Linked DNA regions of Pelodiscus sinensis. The protein of the gene in region 3 interacts with the protein of the main gene of each other region in a biochemical or structural test. Links are inferred from orthologs where the notes say so. Each region holds a gene or a part of one and is shown on either strand. Other genes may lie near its edges. The genes, in order: MATK, BLK and ERBB2.

What was found.
Region 1: the proteins of ERBB2 (region 3) and MATK form a complex in vitro, tested with the Homo sapiens proteins (2 studies listed by BioGRID and IntAct, with this or other methods). The link is inferred for Pelodiscus sinensis from reciprocal best matches to the Homo sapiens genes ERBB2 and MATK.
Region 2: the proteins of ERBB2 (region 3) and BLK form a complex in vitro, tested with the Homo sapiens proteins (2 studies listed by BioGRID and IntAct, with this or other methods). The link is inferred for Pelodiscus sinensis from reciprocal best matches to the Homo sapiens genes ERBB2 and BLK.

Annotation. Positions count from the first base shown.
Region 1 is NC_134729.1:30,054,641-30,058,385, forward strand, and holds the start of MATK (megakaryocyte-associated tyrosine-protein kinase), read right to left. Parts: upstream 2,296-3,745; 5' UTR 1-2,295.
Region 2 is NC_134713.1:2,660,371-2,664,115, forward strand, and holds the start of BLK (tyrosine-protein kinase Blk), read right to left. Parts: upstream 2,912-3,745; 5' UTR 1,077-2,911; coding exon 973-1,076; intron 967-972; exon of another isoform or gene 644-966; intron 1-643. UniProt on the Homo sapiens protein: Non-receptor tyrosine kinase involved in B-lymphocyte development, differentiation and signaling. B-cell receptor (BCR) signaling requires a tight regulation of several protein tyrosine kinases and phosphatases, and associated coreceptors.
Region 3 is NC_134739.1:11,545,625-11,549,369, forward strand, and holds the start of ERBB2 (receptor tyrosine-protein kinase erbB-2), read right to left. Parts: upstream 2,208-3,745; 5' UTR 2,082-2,207; coding exon 2,003-2,081; intron 1-2,002. UniProt on the Homo sapiens protein: Protein tyrosine kinase that is part of several cell surface receptor complexes, but that apparently needs a coreceptor for ligand binding. Essential component of a neuregulin-receptor complex, although neuregulins do not interact with it alone.

The DNA.
Region 1 (3,745 bases), on a different chromosome or scaffold from region 3:
CCACCATCACAGGAGATGAAGCGGAAGCAAAGCCTACTGAACGAGGCACAAAACACACCCATGAGGCTGACCAAACCAGCCTGTCAGGTGGAACCTGACCACTGGACGCTGTTATCTCTGACCACGCTTCCCTGGAGGAGGCTTGCTGAAAGCTCAGGTGTGAATGTTGCTCTGCTGAGCCAGAGGCAGCAGGCAGATCGGAACAGCAGGTCTTGCTATAGCACTGAGAAAGCGTTGAAGCATCACGCACAGGAAGAGGACAACGATGCTCTCTACTGGCTCCTACCTACCAAAGGGAGAGCACTTCTGGCTCAGCTAGGAGTGATCAGTCCTGCACTGGCGGGGGTCGGGGTAGCTGGGCTTACAGGTTTCCAGTGATTGTCATGCTGAAGGAAGTTGGCTGCTGGCCAGCCCTGGGAAGAACAAACCAGAGGGCAAGTTTCTGCACCCGACCCAGCCTCTTGTGAGACTGGCTCAATGCAGCCATTGCTAGGTTAAGAGGGGGGTTCACGACCTCACGGTGGCAGTTTTGATGATGCAAGTGCCTGGTCTACCAAGCTCATTCACAGGAGTCAGCACCCGGCATCTTGGGAGGGTTAAAGTTGGTTGTTTTGGTCCCTTGCCGTTCCCAAGCGGTGGGAAAGGCCTGACAGTAGGCGCGGGTCTGTGAGACGCTTTGTCTGCATGGATCCCACTGCTGAGATTCATGGGCCCTACCGGTGGAAACCTCATGCACAAATAACTGAAGATCCATCCAGATGAGAAGCTCCTGTCCAATGCCTCTCATGACCGGCAGTCCCGATCTGTCGGGCCTAGGGGACAGGAAACGCTAGCCCCGACCCAGCGGTGGGCAACCTGCAGCCGGCCAGGGTTGTGTGTGTGGCTCGTGAGATAGTGCTGCCATTGCCAGATTCTGCTGATTTTCATCCACATCGATTTTTCCTACCGACGTGACCCGCACATAAAGCCAGGGCGTGTGAAGTGAGGAGGGCGCTGACTGTGAGAGCTGCGCGCTCCCCCGCATCCAATCACAATGCTGCCACGGCTCAGTCGCTCCATCCTGCAGTGAGCGGAGCTACCCCATCCCAGGAGACTGCCCTGGCGCCCACAAACTTACAGTCCACTGAGATGAAGGAGGGCCGCTCGTGCAGCTCCCCCACTAGGCTAGGTTGCCCCTCCCAGTCCTGAACTGTTCCACCCCTTTGGAACCACTTTTGATTGCTGTAGCCTGTGCAATTGCAGGTCTCTGACATGCTCCTGGAGATATCGAAACATACAGCCCAGCCCGTTCACTGCGTAGTCCTGCCTGGCACAAGTGCACTGGACAAGTGTCTGCATCAGTGCAAACAGCAGTGGAAGAGCTGGCAACTGTGCAGACAGGTTACAGGAAACCTACCCACAGCTCGGTGTCAGACAGCAGACTGGCGGTGCCGCACACACTGCCCCCCTCCCATCTACCCACCACATGGGGTCAGACGGCTCCCTGAGCACAAGCACCCGCTGAGACAGAGGGCAGCTTATTGTCTTGCAGCACCAAGGGGAGGACACTGCTGTTTATCCCGCTGAGTGTAGCACTTTGAAGGTCCCCAGCGCTTCTGGCCTCCTGGAGGGGAGAAGGTAAACGTATTACCCAGCCGCGGCTACTGCCCTAGCCAGACCCTGTGCTTACCTTCCTGCAGCACCCATGCAAAGCCCTTGGCACCAAAGTCGTTGCAGGTTTGCTCACTGCCAAGCCAAGCCCAGACCTGAGTCGCAAGAACTTGTAGAATAAATTCCCAGTTCAAATGATGGAGCAGAACTTTACCTCCTGCGCAGCCGTGTTCACAGAACAGCCACTCTGAGAAACTCCTCTCCGCTTTATTTCCTGATTTCTCTTTGAGGCTGGGCTGCAGAGGCAGTGCCTTGGAGGTCCTAGTGCCTGCTTTTATGCAGCCAGTTTTAACCAGAGATGATTCAGTCTTCGATGACGCTTTACCCCGAGGTGACTTTAGCCCCCTTGCTGCACAAGTTCACATCCCAACAGAGGAAGTATCAGCAGCTGTCTGATTTGAAACCATGCAGCAGTTTGTGACACCCAAGCAAACTAACAATCAGCTGATATGAAACAGTGAGTTATTGTTCTGCTACTCCCTGTTTTGTGGTGGTGCCCACACAAACGTCCCAGACATTGTGCTCAGCAAGTGACAAAACGAGAATTACCGTGTGGCAGGGGAGATTTTGAACATTTTGGAAGGAAAATGTTCTGGCCCTAGCCCATAGGTGTGCGCAGCACATCTCATTAGGGTGTGCCCCAAAGAATTTTTTAAAAATTTACTTTGACTCCCATTAGCCACAACCCTGACCCCAGTTAACCACGCCCGACCCCCATGGGCCACACCCCCTGACTCCCATTAGCCACAACCCTGACCCCAGTTAACCACGCCCGACCCCCATGGGCCACAGCTCTGGAGGTAACACTCTGGGGGCAAGATGGACACATGGCCAGAAGTAAATGGTGTCATGTGACCCCCCCCTAAGGACTTTTCCCACCATCCTCCTACCAATAGGGATTAGTTTGCCTCCCCCCCCAACTATCTGCAGTTGCATTACCCCAATGTGTGTGACCTGCCCTCCTCCACCAGCCCTTCTCTCCCCTGTGCCCACTCCTCCAGTAGCCCCACTCTGATCATGTGAGCTACCCCTCCTCATCCCCCCTCCTAACACCTCCCCTGCCTCTCTCCCCTGGTGCTGGTCCCTCCCCTGCAGGTGTCTGCCCTTCTGCTTCACCCCCAGAATCCCCTGGCACCTGCACCTTCCCTTAGCCCTGAACCCTCCTGGTGCCTCCCCCTTCCCTCACTGCCCCTGCCCCCTTTTTCCCTGATGCCCACCCCCTCACCTCCTTCTGCCCCCATTCCCCTCATGCCCCTGTGCCCTCGCACATGCCTTGCTCCATCCCCGCCCTTCTCATGCCCACCCCTTCTTTCAAGCCTTTTCCCAGCACCTCCCCCTCCTCGCTCTAACCCTCAATGCCCCTCTCCTCTCCTAGCATCACCCTGTCCCCCCTCCTCCCCTCCTGCCCCTTCCTCTTCCACCTCTTCCTCGTATTTTCCCCCCTTCTCCTCCCCTTCCTTACCTTACCTTCGGTTTCTGCCTTCTGATTCCTGGGGCTGGAGTCTGAGCTGGCCCAAGCTACAGGCTGGCCAGGCCCTAGTCTGGGCGCCTCCAAGGTGCCGCGTGGTGCTGCTGGGCGGGGCGAGGGCGCCTCCAGGGAGCCTCAGTGGGGCCGTGCGGTGCTGCCGGGCTGGGTGGGCGCGTCCCCAGGGCACTGCGTGGTGCTGCTGGGCCGGGCAGGGTGCCTCCGGGGAGCCTCACTGGGGCCGCGCGGTGCTGCCAGGCTGGGCAGGGGCGTCCCCAGGGCGCAGGGCGGTGCTGCCAGGCTGGGGGGGGTGCCCCTGGGTACACAAAGGGCGGTGCTGCCGGGTCTGGGGTGCAAAAATGGCTCAGGCCAGCTGGTGTTTTCGGGCCTCCGCCCCAGCTGCTTCTGGAGCTGGGCCACACGGTTTGAAAGTCCCAGGCCGTGACGTCATGCCACGCCCGGGCATCTTACCTCTTGCGCGGCGTTTGAGCACGCCATGCATGCTCCCTCTCTGCTCCACAGTGCCCTGGTGATGGCTGTGGGGAATTTAAAGTGAGGGGCTGCGGCGCCTCGTCACAAATCCCTCTCCTCCTCCAGCAGCCGCTAGCTGGCCGGAGACATTAGGGTGTG
Region 2 (3,745 bases), on a different chromosome or scaffold from region 3:
GACAGCTAAAAGGTTTCGTGCCACAGCATCTTTGCCAAAAAAAACAGCGTTCTGACTATAACCTACTTATTTGCTTTGGGCAAATTTTTCTGCTTCTTCGATGCAGACAGCTGGGGTGGAGGGAAAGAGGAAGAAATCAAATTTAGGAACCAAACATTTCTACTGAGAAGTGAATTGTTTCAAATTTTCAGAGACCCCAGCGATGTTTCTGGGTCAGGTTTTTGAACACCAGATTATATAGACAGTGTGTTACAAGGAGGAGGAAGAAAAATTGTTCTCCTTGGCCTCTGAAGACAGGACAAAAGCAATGGGTTGAAATTGCAGCACAGGAAGTTTAGGTTGGACAGTATGAAAAAATTCCTACCTGTCAGGGTGGTGAAACACTGGAATAAGTTGCTTAGGGAGGTTGTGGAATCTCCATCTCTGGAGATAGTTAAGAGCAAGTTGGACGGACACCTGTCAGGGATGATCTAGACAGTGCTTGGTCCTGTCATGAGGGCAGGGGATTGGACCTGATGACCTCTCGAGGTCCCTTCCCGTTCTATGATTCGATAGATAGATAGATAGATAGATAGATAGATAGACAGACAGACAGACAGATAGATCAGGAAATTAAATTGAAAAAGTGTCATTTTTTGATCACCTCTAATTATTTAAGTTGATGTAAAATCATCGCTCGCCCTACACGCTTGTGCAAAAGAATAAGGGAGCCTTAATGTCTTTACAAGCCTGCCTATGTTATGTCCTCTCAGGGTGTCTCTGCACTACAGAGAAGAAGTTGATCTTCTAATGTTTGATTTAGCGGGTCTAGCGCAGGCCCGCTCAATTGAATGCTGAAGTCATCCCCCGCTGGCGTCCAGTGCTTCTCCTTCTGCCAGGAGTAAGGGAAGCAAGTGGCACCGTGCGCGCCCATCGGCCTCCCGCTGTGTGGACGGGGATTTAAGGCACGGCGACTCCAGCTATGCAACTCACAGAGCCGGCGTTGCGTAGCTTAGGTCGACCTTCCCCTCCAGTGTAGACCAGGCCTCGGAGGGGTGGCAGAGTTGCTTCCAGGGGGCTGCTGTTCCACTTTCCATGTGCGTGGCCGGGCCGAGCTGAGGAATGTAACATTACACCCGCATCCGGTGCTGTGGTGAGGCCCCACCTCTTGGCCAACGCCTCAAGGATTGAGAGCAGACGATGCACCTAGTGATAAAGCTCTCTCACTGGACGCACCAGGGACCCACACGGCTTCGGTAGATAGACACAGAAGGGGGCCAGTAACACAGGCTACCCAGTGGGTTACACTATGCCAAGTAAGAGGTCTGCAAGCTACAAGATGAGTTTGATTTCCCTGCTGGCCGCGGCTAATCAGTTCTTCAGTGGAAACAACAGGAAGCGGGCAAGACAGGCAAGTCATCTGATTAACAAGAGGAGGAAAACTTCTTGGGCCAGCTAGCTTAGCTGGCTAGAGTGTGATGCTAATAATGCCAGGGTGGGGGAGAGGGGGTCATGCCCCATGCTGGCCACTAAACACTCTTGGCAAGGTGGCTCATCTGCCCTCTGTGGTGGAACAGGGATGGTACTGGCCTTTTAAACTAGAGCATGTGGGTTCAAGTCCTAGCTGAGGTCACAATTGAGCTGTGTTCTGAGTTGCCACATGAGCATACAAAAGGTTCTCAGCAAACTATGGAAACTTGGGGTGCACAGAAAGTTTGTGTAGTGCGGGCAGAACTGAGCCTGGGACCTCTGGCAATTTGTACGTGAGCTAAAGGATTCATTATTTTTTCTGTAAGCGGTCTAAGTGCCACTCCATGGGACAGGGAACCACCCCCAGTAAGGGTGTGGGTGACAGGGGCAGCATTCCTACTTGCCCAATGGTCACGAGGCTGACACACGTCAGCTAAATTACATTCCCCTGGGCTAAGGATTTCAGAAGCTGACCAGTGTGGTGCTTTCAACCCAAAGGGCTCCAGCAATTTTAGGCCAGATTCTCATACGCGGATGCCAGCATACTAGCCCAGGTTTACGACTCACCCAATATTGCCAGCCCCCCCAATGTTCAAATGTCCTGTGCCTGACCCTGAAACATCACCAAGACTGGTTCCCAAATCGTGTGATATTGATCTGTCTTTTGACTTTTGAACATCAGAATGGCCAGATTGGGTCAGAACGAAGGCCCATCTAGCTCAATGGCCTGTCTGCCCACGGGGGCCAATGCCAGGTGCCCCAGAGGGAGGGAACAGAACAGGGAATCATCCAGTGATCCCTCTCCTGTCACCCATTCCCAGCCCCTGACAAACAGAGGCTAGGGACACCATCCCTGCCCAGCCTGGCGAATAGCCATCAATGGACCTAACCTCTATGAATCTATCTAGTTCTTTTTTGAACCCAGTTAAAGTCCTGGTCTTCACAGCCTCCTCCGGCAAGGAGTTCCACAGGTTGGCCGTGCGCTGCATGAAGAAAAACTTCCTTTTGTTAGTTTCAAACCTGCCGCCTATTCATTTCATCTGGTGACCCCTAGTTCTCCCTTCTCACCCCCGAGGCTCTATGGGACATTGCCATGTTTCCCATTCTCCCAAAATGCTGAGAGGAGGGTGATCTGGGCCCTGCTGTGGACAGAGGACCCCGTGGAGAAGAAATTACACCGATTCGCCTCCCACGCTGCCTGATCACGTGGAACTCCCATTCCTGCCCCCCCAACTCATGCTGTGCCGGTCCAACCTCCCTTCTGCCCCCCCAGAAGGAATGACGCACCCACAGCCCCACATCAATACTACCCACAGCTGCCCTTTGCCCCTCAGCACACCCCTGCTCTAGGCGTTCTTCCCTCCAGCCTCCCCAGCCTGGGGGAGCTACTGCCCCAAATCCCCTTTTCCCCATCCTCAGGTCTGGCATTGAAGGGGGTGGGGGGAGGAGCTGAGAGCAGACTGACCCATTACAGGAGCAAAGCGGGGGGGAGCAGAGCCATGGGGAACGCGGAGAGATCTGCCCTCCTTCTGCTGCAGTCCTGATTGGCTGCTTTCCCCCAGGAGGTGGGGAAGCGGAAGGCAGCCAATTGGGGGGAGGGATCCCTTGGGCAGCGCTGTGAAGCTCAAGAGGGTGGGACCATCTCTCCCGGGGGGTGGTGCAAGCGGTGCTACTGGCCATGCGGTGGCACCGATTCCCGTTGACTTCCCAGGGGGAGGAAGGGCTCACCAGCTGACACGGAATCGAGCCCCGTTTTCACAGAAACCATTTCGCCACTGAAATGCAGCCACCTCTGGGGTGGAGTCCGATGGTAAATGAGAGCAGGATGGGGAAGGCTGAGCACACAGAAGGGGAGTTTCTGGGACATCAGATGTAAAAGATAAAATTTGCCTGAGGGGGAGGAGCTACCAGATTTCCCTCTTTGGGGAGATGCTCGGCTCTTGCAAAACGTGACTGGGAATCTGCATTCACGTGCAGGGTGTGACTCTTTGGATAGTCCACGGGACAACGCAAAGCCCCCTCACACCACAGAAGATATGAGTTCTTCAGTCCAGTCTCCCCGGCCTGGGGGAGCCACTGCCCCAAATCCCCTTTTGCAGAAATGCAGGTTCTTCCCCAAACATTTCATAAAATCACGGGGCTGGAAGAGACCTCAGGAGTCACCGAGTCCAGCCCAGAGCAGAACCAGCCCCAACTCAATCGTCCCAGCCAGGGCTTTGTCCAGCTGGGACTTAAACACCCCTAGGGATGGAGATTCCACCCCTCCCTAGGGAACCCAGCCCAGGGCTTCCCCACC
Region 3 (3,745 bases):
AACACAAAGCATCTTATTGGCATCTCACCTGGAACAGGTGATTCAGAATTCAGTGCCCACTTTCTGTTACGATCGCATCAGCTTCACAGGATTGGGCATGCATGTGGGACGCCCAGATACACACACAAGCACACAGGAAAACCCAAGCAGGGCACCAAACTTGGCAGGTGACGCTCTTTCAGAACTAACGTCCCACTGTGGCAATAAGGGGCAGGTTTTGGCTGATGTATCAGCTGAAATCCTTTAAGATCCTGAGGGATTATCTCATCTCAGGAGGGAGGAGGGAGTTAGCTCGACTGTCCTACCCAATTCCAAACTGAGTAGATACATTTTGCCGCTCTACATCCCCTTCACTCCTGCAGATTCAACTGAAGGAGTTTTCCCCTTCACTTTGTCCCTCAAACTGTTGGATAGTGTTGTTCTGTAGTATTAGGCAGCTAACACTGCCCACCTCCCCCGACACCAATAGGACCTTGTGAGTGAAGTTACTCCTGTATATGTAAAGTCTCTGACGGGCTGCAGGATGAGCGGTCCTCGATAAGATACTGTTATCTGAGAACTTTTCACTAAATATGGTGTATTGATGGGTATAAAGTAAACGTGCCAAATTTGCAAGTCCTAGTCCTACTTCCGCTAAGACATCAGAAAACAAACACTAAGTAAAGATTTAGGTTTCTGCTATGGATTATGTATCTACATCCAACATACTGGGCAACTCCCTTGGGCATCAGTAGCTAGAATTTCCTGTGTAAACCATGAGTGCTAACGAACTACAAAATGTAACTCGCCAATAACACTCGGCCCCACCGTATTTGACTACAGTAAACAGCTTGACACTCATCAACAGCAGACAAGATGGATGAGGTGGGAACATTTTCAATAAACAACTTGCCTTCAGCATAAAGCAACGAGGCTAAAATCTTTCTGGCCTTACCTACTTCCTTGTCATAAATACTGAAACATGCAAAATAAGCATTTACCTGTGACCCGCCCCCTCACCACAACTGACTGGAGTCCTCCCCTCTGCAATTTGTAATATAAACTCCTTTCCAGACTATTACATTTGTGGGTGAGATAGAAAACAATTGGCCGGGTAAACTATTCCTGGGAACAGGATTCATCTGGAGAGGGTGGGATTTCCCACCCAAAGCAAAATACGATTAAAACGGAAAAAAATGCACCTTGTTTCGTTTATCCAAACACCTTTGAAAGTGCTAAGTCTGACCCAGGCCTCTGCCATTGTACAGAACCATGGGAGGAGTGACTCTAGGCAGTGCCTAGCCACACAGCTCTCTAGATCCCAGCCTGCACCTTTAGGGTCTGCAGGAGATTGTCATTTTCCTAGTAAGTAAGCCGCATGGAGCTTATTTTTGTAAAGCCACTGGTTCCGTGGGACAGCCCCCAAGGAAGCAAGGGAGTGAGAGAGAGAAACCATTTTAAAAACCTGCCAAGGTCTCCCCTCCCTGACACTCCCGGGGCAACTCGATTTTTCTGGCAGGTCTGAAGGGGGGGGAGAAGGAGTCAGAGTCCCCGGGAAAGAAAAGCAGCGATCGCTCTTCGGGGCGGGATCAAACCCCACAACCCATGGAAACAGGCTCCCTACTGAAGTGGCTCTGCCGGGCTGAATCCTCGCTAAGGACTCGTGGGACCTAGTCGCTGCCAGGATCGCTGAAGTCGTGAACCAAGGCTGCACCCTTTTACCCCACTGCCCCCCTCCCTCCCCCATGGGAGGCTCATTCCTGCGTGCTCGGGAGCTCCCGGGGCAACCCCGCGCCGATCGGCAGCGCTAGGTTCGCTCTCCGGCTGGATGCACGGGACACAAAACTTCTGCAAAGTTTGTTGGGTGGGCCCCCCTCTTCGCCCCCCCCCCCTTTCCCGCGGCTGGCTGGGCGCTTCCCAGCTCCGCTTTCCTTCGCCCACATCCCAAGCTCCCCCCCCCCCCCCTCGGAACTTTCCCTCTTTCCTCGCGCCCCGCACAAACTTTTCCCCAGCCCGGACCCACCGTCGTGGCTGCGGCCGCCGGGCAGGCAAGCGGCGAGGAGCAGCCCCATGCAGAGCCAGCCGCTGCTGGGGGGGGTCATTGTCTTCACTGCGGGCTGCAGCCCATGGCTCCGGGGTCTCTGCCGCGAGGGGGGGGCGGGGTCCCCCTGGCTCTGCGAACCCAGCGTCGTGCCCGCGCGGCACTTCCTCCTCGGGGCGGCGGGGACGCGCCGCGCGCCCCCGCGCGGGATTCCAACTCCCCTGGGAGTGGCGAGGCGCGGGCGCGCCCGGAGCCTGGCGCGCGTCCTGGGGGAGCAGCGCCTTGGATGCCCCGGCTGGCTCTGCCCTCCGGGGGGCGCGCCCGGAGGCTGCAGAGGGAGGAGGAGGAGAGCGAAAGATAAAAGGGCCGGGGGATGCCCCCTCCCTGGGCCATCTCTCCCCGGAGAGGCGAGGCGAGGCTCGCCAAGCGCTCCGAGGACCGTTCCGGAGCAGGGAGCTTCCTTCCCGAGCTAGGGGACCGGGCCGGGGATATTAGCCCCTGCCCGCGCCGTCTGGGATCCAGGGGCGGGTCTTTCTCAACTCTGCAAACACCTGCAAAAGCAGCTGGGTTTTCAAGTGGAGGGGCGGGGGAGTTCGACTCTCTCGCCCCATCTTTCTGTGCCCAAAGGGGTGGGGCACCTCAGGCCCGGGGCCTCCTAGTTTGCCTGGATCTGGCCCCCGAGGCTTAGGGCGCCCCCCCCAACACTGGGGAGCCTACACTGGTGCTTCAGCCCCCCTCCCTGCAGAGCTGGAGTGGGCAAAATGTACTAGCCTAGCCCCCCAAGCTCTGGTGCAGGAGGGGAATGTGGAGAGGGTCTTTCTCTTTCTCAGTGAGGGTTTGTTGGTTTGCTTGCTTCTCACCAGTGTGCTGCCCCCGACTGATTTTTCTCTGGATCAGCATCCCCCCCCCAAAAAGGTTCCCCACCTCTGGCCTGAACGGAGGCTGAGGGTTTGAAACTCTGCCGTGACTGCGGGTGTCGGACCCTTCTGAAAATTCTGGCCTCCTGCTCTACTTTGTAAGGGCGCTGAGTGCCCAGAGGCAGGGAGTCCGTGGAGGGCCTGAAACAATCGCCCGAGGGGCAGGCACTGGCCTCGGGGGAGGAGGTTAACTCAGAAAACGAATGAGCGCTCATGGCTGCTCCGTGTGAACAGAGCTCATTTTGCTACTGGCCAAGGTGGGCGTGAACAGGATGGTGCGATGGTGCAGAGCTGGAAGTAAAGAGAGGGGTTTGGTTTATGAGCAAAAGAACGGCCACACTGCATCAGCCCGGTGGCCCATCCAACCCAACCCAGCATCCTCTCTATGATGGTGGCCAGATGCTTCAGAGGGAATGAACAGAACAGGGCACTGTTGAGCGACCTATCCCTGCTGTCCAGCTCCAGCTTCTAGCAGTCCAAGGTTTAGAGGGTTGTGTCCCGAATCATCTTGACTCATAGCCATTTACGAACGTGCGCTCCGTGAACTTACCTATGGGCTGAATGTGGTTTGAGGGTGGAACTAAGAATGTTAAAGACAAGTCAACTGGTTGACTATCAGATAAGCATTTGCTTATCAGATAGTTTTTTGACTAGTCTATAGGCACTTCCGCATTCTTCCTTTGAAATGTACAAGAGCCCCAGTAGGAGCTCTTGTACATTCCAAAGGAGGAATGCGGAAGGGGCTCTTGTACATTTCAAAGGAGGAATGTGGAAGGGGCTCTTGTACATTTCAAAAAAGGAATGCAGA